2 linked regions of the Canis lupus familiaris genome follow. The protein of the gene in region 1 purifies or fractionates together with the protein of each later gene. This does not show direct contact. Links are inferred from orthologs where the notes say so. Each region holds a gene or a part of one and is shown on either strand. Other genes may lie near its edges.

What was found.
Region 2: the proteins of RSU1 (region 1) and ILK purify together in Homo sapiens (affinity purification with mass spectrometry; 9 studies listed by BioGRID and IntAct, counting the BioPlex papers as one, with this or other methods). This does not show direct contact. The link is inferred for Canis lupus familiaris from reciprocal best matches to the Homo sapiens genes RSU1 and ILK.

The regions. Positions count from the first base shown.
Region 1 is NC_049223.1:19,006,845-19,011,172, reverse strand, and holds the start of RSU1 (ras suppressor protein 1), read right to left. Parts: upstream 2,984-4,328; 5' UTR 2,825-2,983; intron 2,644-2,824; 5' UTR 2,641-2,643; coding exon 2,532-2,640; intron 1-2,531. UniProt on the Homo sapiens protein: Potentially plays a role in the Ras signal transduction pathway. Capable of suppressing v-Ras transformation in vitro.
Region 2 is NC_049242.1:30,417,684-30,422,049, reverse strand, and holds the start of ILK (integrin-linked protein kinase), read right to left. Parts: upstream 2,825-4,366; 5' UTR 2,697-2,824; exon of another isoform or gene 2,569-2,696; intron 2,284-2,568; exon of another isoform or gene 2,278-2,283; 5' UTR 2,232-2,277; coding exon 2,143-2,231; intron 1,945-2,142; exon of another isoform or gene 1,712-1,944; coding exon of another isoform or gene 1,704-1,711; intron 1-1,703. Other genes in the region: RRP8 (ribosomal RNA-processing protein 8), read left to right, coding at 3,045-3,143, 4,307-4,366. UniProt on the Homo sapiens protein: Scaffold protein which mediates protein-protein interactions during a range of cellular events including focal adhesion assembly, cell adhesion and cell migration.

The sequences.
Region 1 (4,328 bases):
TTGAGACACGATAACCATTCTCTATCCATGCAAGTGGACTGTTCCCTGCGTTTCACCTTCATACTAAGACACAAAACCTGATGGTTACAGCTAAAACTTCACTAGTAAAGAAATGAGGGAATTCTTATGCTCTAGTTTATGTAATCACATCAAATATTTCAACATATGAGATATTAAAATATATAGAGTAAGCATTCTGTGCACTACCAATAAATGAGCCCCAGTTGAGGAATGGCCTTCAGAAGGCATCCTGGAACCTTCCAGGCTCCAGGAGTCCAGGAGAGAGGGAATTTCAGCAGAAAGCAGCCACTCTTTGAGTCTACGCACACCACAGAAGCTGCAGAAGGTCCAATCTCCAAACTACCCAGGAAGCAGGCTTGTTCTTCCTTATGCTACTTCTCCGGGAGAACACAAGAAAGATCTTGCTTTTTACCACCTACTATTACACCGGAAACATCTTTCTCAGGAAGCAAGTGGCTATCTTTTCTCCTTCAGTAAAAGCCAAGGCTTCAAAGAGATAATGCAAGGGAACCAAAATAGCCAGGCCACAATCCTTACTTATAAATATTACATAAAGAATTCTCTTCAAAGCCAAAGGCTATGAAGTTCCTCTGCAGAGATGAGGAGCAGACAGCCATGGGGCCAAAAGTACAGTGGAGCCAGGCCTCCTGCTTGCGCTCACCATCCTTCATTACAGCAGAGCGCCCCATGATCGCCTCGACCTAGGCAGAGCCAGAAGTGGCAGCGCAAGCACACATCCAGCCTGGCTGGCGGCTGCCAACCCAGCCCCCAGAGCCTGCAGCTCTGCTGCTGCCACCAAGAAGCCATCACCACTTGGGAGAGGCCAACTCATCTCAAGAAGGTAACATGCTAATTGGTTCAAAAGCTAAAGCTCCGCGGCAGGAACCTTCCTAAGGGTTACCGAATGCAAACTGTCTAGGACTTCTAACCCCTTTCCTTTTGCAGAGATGCATCAAGAGCCCCAACCCAATCTGTCCTGGGCACAAACCACGGATTCACAGTAAATTTGATTGACTCTGCTCTCTCCATGCCAAACAAGCAATGCATCACCTTTTAGGATCTCCTGAACATCTCTCCTCCTCCTCCAATGTCACATCCTGGTCTGAATCTCAGCAACTCCATCCACCCAACATTTCTGAGCACCTACTGTATGCCAGGCCCACTACCAAGAAGGCATTTATGAGTAATGCACAGCAACATTCCCCCCCAGTCTCCAATGCGGGTGAGAGACATCTGGATTAAGAACGGATCACAATCCCGGGTAAGCAGAGCCATGAAGCAAGGCATGTCCACCTCCACAGAGGAGGGGATGACTATTTGCTTGACACGAAAAGAGAAGTTTTCACACGGGCGATGGCATCTGGGCTGATTCTTGACAGATAAGTAAAAGGATCTGGGGGAAAAAGAGAGGAAGAAAACAATACTTCTAAGGCACAAAGACCTGAAAGACACTGCCCTGGTTCAAGAAGGGCAATCCGTTCAGTATGGCGGGAAGAACAAACGCATGGATGAGATAGGAACTAAGGTAGGCTTTGGCCAGATTCACAAAGGCTCCGCATGTCACGCCAAAGAACTTGGAGCATCACTGTTGCTAATGAACAACCAGAAGTGTTTAAGGGAGAAGGTCCAAACTGAGGCCACACTCGGCCTGAAGAAGTGTTTTATTTCACCTGCACTTTTCAGTACTGGAATTAGTTGCCAATGTGTAAAAAATTAAGAAATTTCACGTAAAAACCTAAACTCTTGCCTTCCTGAAAACAACAACTATGGCAACACTAGGCCAACATCCCCAGGTGGTGACAACCGTGTGCACGTGCGCAGCAGGTTCGGCAGCTGCCCCTCTTCAGATGGGATACCCACGATGAAGTTCATGACCATCCTCAGCTGGCCCCAAAAGACATCTGAGTTTGCAATCTCTGGCTTAACGGAGTGAGTTACAGGCTAAGATATGTTGCAGAAAAATAACCTTAGAAAGCAACACAGTGACTGAAGCACAGGGTCAGCAAACCTGAAGGCAAGAGGCTAAAAGTTAGGGGATACATCACAGTAGCACGAGGAGGTAACAAAAGCCTCAACTAAGAATAAAGAGCCAGGAAAGGGCAAGGAGTGGAGGAGACATGCTTAACAAACTCCAGCAGCCATAAGAGGAGTTAATCATGGAACTTCTGTGTGGCGATTGCTCAAGGGTCAGTGACTATATTAGGAGAAAACAAGCCTGATGCAAAAGTGATTTTCGATTTAAAATAGAGTGGGTGTGCAGTAAACTGCGCGGGAAATCTTCTCAAATACCAGCTACTGCCTGGGTGACTCCTACCCCGGGCTCTGAGGCTCGTCTTCCAGCCGGGCCGGGCCAGGTCCCCGGCTGCAAACTTTCTGAGCTAAGCTCTCCGCGGGCGAGGGTTGCACGCAGGGGTGCAGAGCCCTGGAAGCTGTGGAGCCCGGCGGCCGGCGGCTCCCCGGGAAGCGCGCACAGCCTGCAGGCCCCGGGAGGGCGCGGCCCCCGCACTTACACAGGCCGTTGACGTCCAGCATGTTGGAGATGCCCCGGTCACTCATGTCCACTTCCGGCTGGTTCTTCTCCCGGCTCTCCTCCACCAACTTTTTCAGGGACTTGGACATGTTCTGGAGCAAACGACAACAGAGGAGGTGGGCGACGGCCGGGGGCGGGGGTTGGGTTGGGGGGGGCCGGGGGTTGGGGGGGCTCGGCGCGGGCTGGCCCCGGGCGGGGGGCGGGGGGCGGGGGGCGTCCGCACCGCTCCGGGCGCTCAGGGAGGCGAGCCCGGGTGCCACGCCGCACACTCACCGCGGAGCGCGGCGCCGACCCGGCGGGCGAGGGAAGCACAGGCGTCCGCCTCGCGCGCTGCAGCAGCAACAGATGCGCCGGCTCGGAGCGACCGCGGACGGGAACGGGAACGGGGACCGCGCCCTGTCCCGGAGCTCCGCGCAGGCGCACAGCCCGCCGCCCTGCGCTCCACGCCCCGCCCGCGCCTGGCGGTTCCCAAATTAGGAGACCAGTTCACTAGACGCGGCTCCAGGGTGAGGCCCCGCCCACAAGGAACGTGTACCGCGGCCGGCCAATCACGTCCGCCGCCTGGCCTCGAGGCTCCGTCCCGTCCCGCCCCGAGGTTAGCCCGTCCCCCTGGAATGCGCCCGGGGCTGTCGTTCCGAGAGGACCGGGCTGGGCGCACGCGCACCAGCGTCGGCGCAGGCGCAGTTTGTGCGCCGAAGCGCGGAGAGCTGTGGGCGGAAGCGGGAACCTGGGGGCGGGACCGTGGGGAGAGGGTGGTCGCTCAACTTGGGAACCCGGGAAGCGAGAAGTTAGTTGCTCCTCGTTGTCCTGTCTCTTTAGTTGTGGTTCAGTGTTCAGAGGTCAGTACTCTGATCCCTTCCCCACAGTCGTTCCTTAGGCTGTATCATGAGCTGCTCGAATGCAAGAACGGCACAGTGGTCTGTGTTCCCGGCACCCAGCTAGATTCCTAGCACCCAGCTGGATTCCCAGCACCCAGGTAGGGATTGCCAGCACCCAGCTGGGGGTTCCTAGCACCCAGCAGGGGATTGCTAGCACCCATCTAGATTCCTAGCACCCAGCTGGGGATTCCTAGCACCCAGCTAGGGATTGCCAGCACCCAGCTGGGGATTGCTAGCACCCATCTAGATTCCTAGCACCCAGCTGGATTGCCAGCACCCAGCTAGGGATTGCCAGCACCCAGCTGGGGATTGCTAGCACCCAGCTAGATTCCTAGCACCCAGATGGATTTCTAGCACCCAGCTAGGGATTGCCAGCACCCAGCTAGGGATTGCTAGCACTGTTCTAGTGATTCCTAGCACCTAGCTGGGGATGGCTACCCCTCAGCTAGATTCCTGGCACCCAGCTGGATTTCTAGCACCCAGCTGGGGATTGCCAACAGCCAGCTAGGGATTCCTAGCACCCAGTTAGAGATTGCCAGCACCCAGCTAGATTCCTAGCACCCATCTAAGGATTCCTAGCACCCAGCAACCGATTGCTAGCACCCAGCTGGATTTCTAGCACCCAGCTGGGGATTGCCAACACCCAGCTAGGGATTCCTAGCACCCAGTTAGAGATTGCCAGCACCCAGCTAGATTCCTAGCACCCAGCTAAAGATTCCTAGCACCCAGCTGGATTCCCAGTACCCAGCTATGGATTGCCAGCACCCAGCAAGGGATTCCTGACACCCAGGTAGGAATTGCTAGCACCCAGCCAGGGATTCTCAGCACCCAACATGGACCCCTGTGTCACATGAAGGGGAATACACACAGATAAATGACTTCTCTTTCCTTATACTACA
Region 2 (4,366 bases), on another chromosome or scaffold:
TGGCCACTTGCAGGCCACCCAGATGTCCCCCTCTCCCGGGGGATGAGAGTGGGGGGCGTGGCCTTTAATGACTTTCCTCCACAGCTGCCCTCATCTGTTCACTTTAGAGATAGTCAAAAGCTTTCCCAGAGGTGGATTATCCCCACCTCCCCCTCTCTGAAGCAACTATCCTCCCCTACTTAATCAGTGAGTTTTGCCTCCCAGCTCTAATTTGTGCCCTGGTTTATCAGCCTGAAGTTTGTGTGGCAGGACTGGCCAGAGCCTGAGGGCAAAAGTATGAGCACAAGGTTTCTGCTGTTCGGCTGCCTGTCACCTCAGGACCACAGACTATAATCCTGAAAGCCCTGCAGGGAGTTCACCACACTTAATATCCTGCAATATAGGGTGCTTGGGCCCCCAAAGCCTATCCCCGCAAACCAGCACCAAAGCCTTCCAGTTTCAGTGATGCCACCCATTCACCCTTTGGCACCAGGGTTTTATACAATGCATCAAGTGCCCCTGGGCAACTTCACATAAACCTTTATGACCCTACCAACAAAATAGTAAGAGTGCTCAGTCTTCATCTAAGCACCCTTTGAAGAATTATGAAAGAATTATGGAAATTATGTAAAAATATGAAAAATGGAAAAGTGACCAAGAATTATGAGGAATAGCATAGAGCCTACTGAGAACCTGGGAAAGCTGGATGAAGATGACAGGTGATCCTTACTCCTCAAACCTAAAAACTGAATAAAATTTTAAAATAAAAAACCCTGAAAACCCACCATCCTGAATCATCAACATCACTACTGCTTTTCCAAAAGCCTCCTTGTCTCAGCCAACCTTGAAGAACTTGTCTACGTTCACTCTCTATTTCCTCACCTCCCATTCAACTTGCCACCAGGCTGCTTGCTGCCTTGAGGGCTGGCAGTATGTCTGGGCCTCTAGCATGGGAGGTGTTTAACCAGCACTTTAAAGAAGGAACCCAGTGTTGTTTGATTTCTTCATCCATTTTCCTCTAAGGCAGCCTTCGCAAAGATCATCAAATACTCATTATTGTAAATTCAACAGTTACTTTAAAGTGCTCAAGTTTTTTGACTTCTCAACAGCCTAAACTACTGTTGACCACTCCCCCTTCATTGAAACACTCACTTCTCTGAGCTTTACTAACATTTTCCTGTTTCTTCTGCAACCTCCAATGGCACCTTTTTAGTTAGCCTTGCAGAGTTCTCATTCCCTCTCCTTCACACCCATGTCTTCAGGTATCATCTATATGCTAACATCTCCCAAATCTGTGTCTCCAAGTCAGATTTCTCCTGAACTGCAAATCTGCATAACCAACAACCTACTCAACATTTCCACTCTGCTGTACAGTTACTTTACCATGTCACAGCAGCACTCATCATCCTTCAGCCTTGTCCAACTCAGTAAAAGCAACTATCTACCCAAGTGTCTGAGCCAGAACCCTGGTCATCATCTTTGACCTTCCTCACTCCCCACACCAAGTCTTATCAATTATTTACACTAAAGATTTCAGGAATCCAAGCACTTGTTTTTCATCTGCCCCCATTCTAGTCTAAGGCATCACCGCTCCTGGGACAGACTTAGCAATTGCCTCTCCACATGGCCACCTGCTCTTTAAAAGGTATCCAAGAGGACACTTAAGTGGACAATCTCATCATATCACAGAGGGGCTTTAAACCCTTGCTCTTAACGTTAATGACCTTATCATAGTGTAAATATCCTTGCATGATCTGGCTGACCCTTGCAGCCGACCCCTCCAGTCTTATCTTCGGTGGTTTACCACTTGTACCCAAAGCTTCAATCCATAGAAGCTCACAGAAGTCTTCTATCCTCCGGGCATATGGACCGGTGGACAATTTCCAGATTCTCTGCTCACTGTCTTGCCTCCTATATTTTGCCGATGCAGTTCACTGAGGTTGGAAAGCTCTCTGCACCCTGCGCCTGAAAAACTCTTGTTGAGCGGTCAAAATTCAGCAGAAACACAGCTTCCTCTGTGGAAACCCTCTGCCCCCCACAGGCTGTGCTTTGCACTGGTCGCACAGGGTAGGAAAGCCAGCCGCCCCCAGCCGACGTGAGCACCCCACACTGCGGAGAGGAGCTTGTCTCTGCCCTTCTCACCCACCAGCCACGTCAGCTCACCCCTGGTTGAGGTCGTTCTCCGTGTTGTCCAGCCACAGGCGAACGGCCACCGCGTTGCCCTCCCGGCACTGGGTGAAAATGTCGTCCATAGCAGCGTCCCGGCGCTGAGCGCCCTAGACTGGGGAAGCCTGGGGACTGTGGAGAGTCAGGCAGGGGGGTGAACCCCGAGCTCTGTCCCCTACCGGAGAGAAGTGTTCGTGTAGGGGGTGGGGGTCTCCCGCTCCTCCCCGGCTCCTGGAGATCTGGGAAGCAGTTCAGGGAGGCGGGATGGTCCCTGGCTGTGTCCCTGGGCGCCAGAGGAAGGCGGGTCCGCGCGAGGTAGGGGGTGGTTCGGAGGTAGAGTCCCCGACGGAGGGGTGTCGGCGAACGCGCTCTGGGACCCGCCCGCGAACTGAGCTGGGGGGAGGGGAGTCGGGCGCCCGGTACCCTGCGAGAGGCGACGGGGGTCCTTCCCGGGGGGCCCTCGTTCCCTGCTCGGTATTCGGGCCGCGCGGAGGCCGGCGAGCCGGCCGGGGTCGGGCCTCGGGGAGGGGAACGGGTGCTCCCGCACTCACCGGGACTCGGGCTGGAGGAGCCTTCTTCGGGGAACTCCCGTCTGGCCGCGCCCGCCGCGCAGCCCCGCCCCTGGCCCTCTGCGGCCAGCGCGGGCCCATTCCTCCCCCCCTCCCTCCCTCCCTCCCCCCGTCCCTCCCTCCCGCCTCCCGCCTCCCGCCTCCCTTGCCCTTCTAGCCAGCAGCGCTAAACTCGATGGTTTCCGGCGCCGCTCCGGCCGCTCTAGCCCCGCAGACTCTCACTCCTTGGTCTCCGGCGCGGTTCCGGCGGTTCGCGCGCTCCGAGGGCTGGAGACGCGTCCTGCACGTGCAGAGGCGTGTGGACCCCGCGGCCTCCCCCACCCCACCCGCATGTTTGAGGAGCCAGAGTGGGCCGACGAGGCCCCAGCAGGGACGGGCTTCCGGCCTGTAGCTCCACGGCCTCCGCCCGCCGCAGCCTCGCAGATCAAGGTGAGCGGCCGAGAAGCCCACGCAGGTGGATCCGAGCTTTGGGTCACGCCGCGTGTGGGTGAGTGTGTCGGGGCGGCGGGGCGCCTGCGGCCGGCGCGAGATCCCACTCAGTGAGAGCTGTTGAGCCGAAGTTAGTGAACACGGTTGTCTGGACGGGGAAAGCACGTGCAAAGGCTCTGGGGCAGGGAAGCGTGTCCGGGTTGTTCGGGACACACGCACACTAGTCCGCGCGGTTGGAGCACAGAGAGCTGAGAGGGTATGCCCTTGAAGTTGGAGAGGCAGAGTAGAAGTTTTGCAGATTTTAACGGTAAAGGCCAATGAAATGGTTTTAGCAGGGAGTGATTTCTTAAGATTTGCATTTTGGAAAAGCCATTGGTTGCGGTGTGGAGACTGGATTGGAGAGAGCAAGAGTGAATGACCATGAAGGATTACCAGCACTACCGTTCTCAAGGAGTGGTGCGGCGTGGGGACTGAAAACCTCCAGGTTAAATGCCTGCGCTGGGGCCACCCCGCAGGACTTCAATCCAGAAGGCCTCCTGGACAGGAGACCTTCTCCTATAAGCCTTTGCATATGTGAAAGCTGCTGTACTTCCGCAGGCTTTTCCTACCTTTCAGTCGGCGTCCAGCGTGGAATCAGCCTGCTTTATTCCTTTTCATCATCCCCTCAACCCATTGCTGTAATCAACACCCCTGGTCTCTCGGTCCACAGCCTGTCCCTTTCAGTTTATTCTCTACACTACAGCTAGACTCACGTGAAATACACACCTGTGATTGTGTCACTCTTGTTTTCAGAAACCTCCCTACCTTTTATAGAAGGATACCACCTAGAGGCAAAAGCCTGAGATGGAGGGTTGGAACTTCTGTTCTCTGGCCTTGGTCCTGTTACTTGTGGCCTTACCACATTCCTCTGGGGAACTTCCATGTTCTCATTTGCAAATTGAAGAAGTGAGGTGGGTGGTTTCTCTTCTTTCCAGCCTCCCAAAGGCTGAGATGGTGACTTAAAGGTTGGTCAGGGGCTGGCCGACATTATGAAAAGTAGTGGAGTTAACAAGGAATAATCCAGATGCTTCTGCCAGCATCTGAAAGGTTTCCACCTTTGCTTTCTTATTCTGCAGGCCCCGTCTATTCACCTCACCCCTCCTCTCTTTCCTTGTTTTCCCCAGGGCTCCAAGCACCGGCAGCTCTTGGCCACATTACGGGCCCTGGAAGCAGCATCTCTTCCC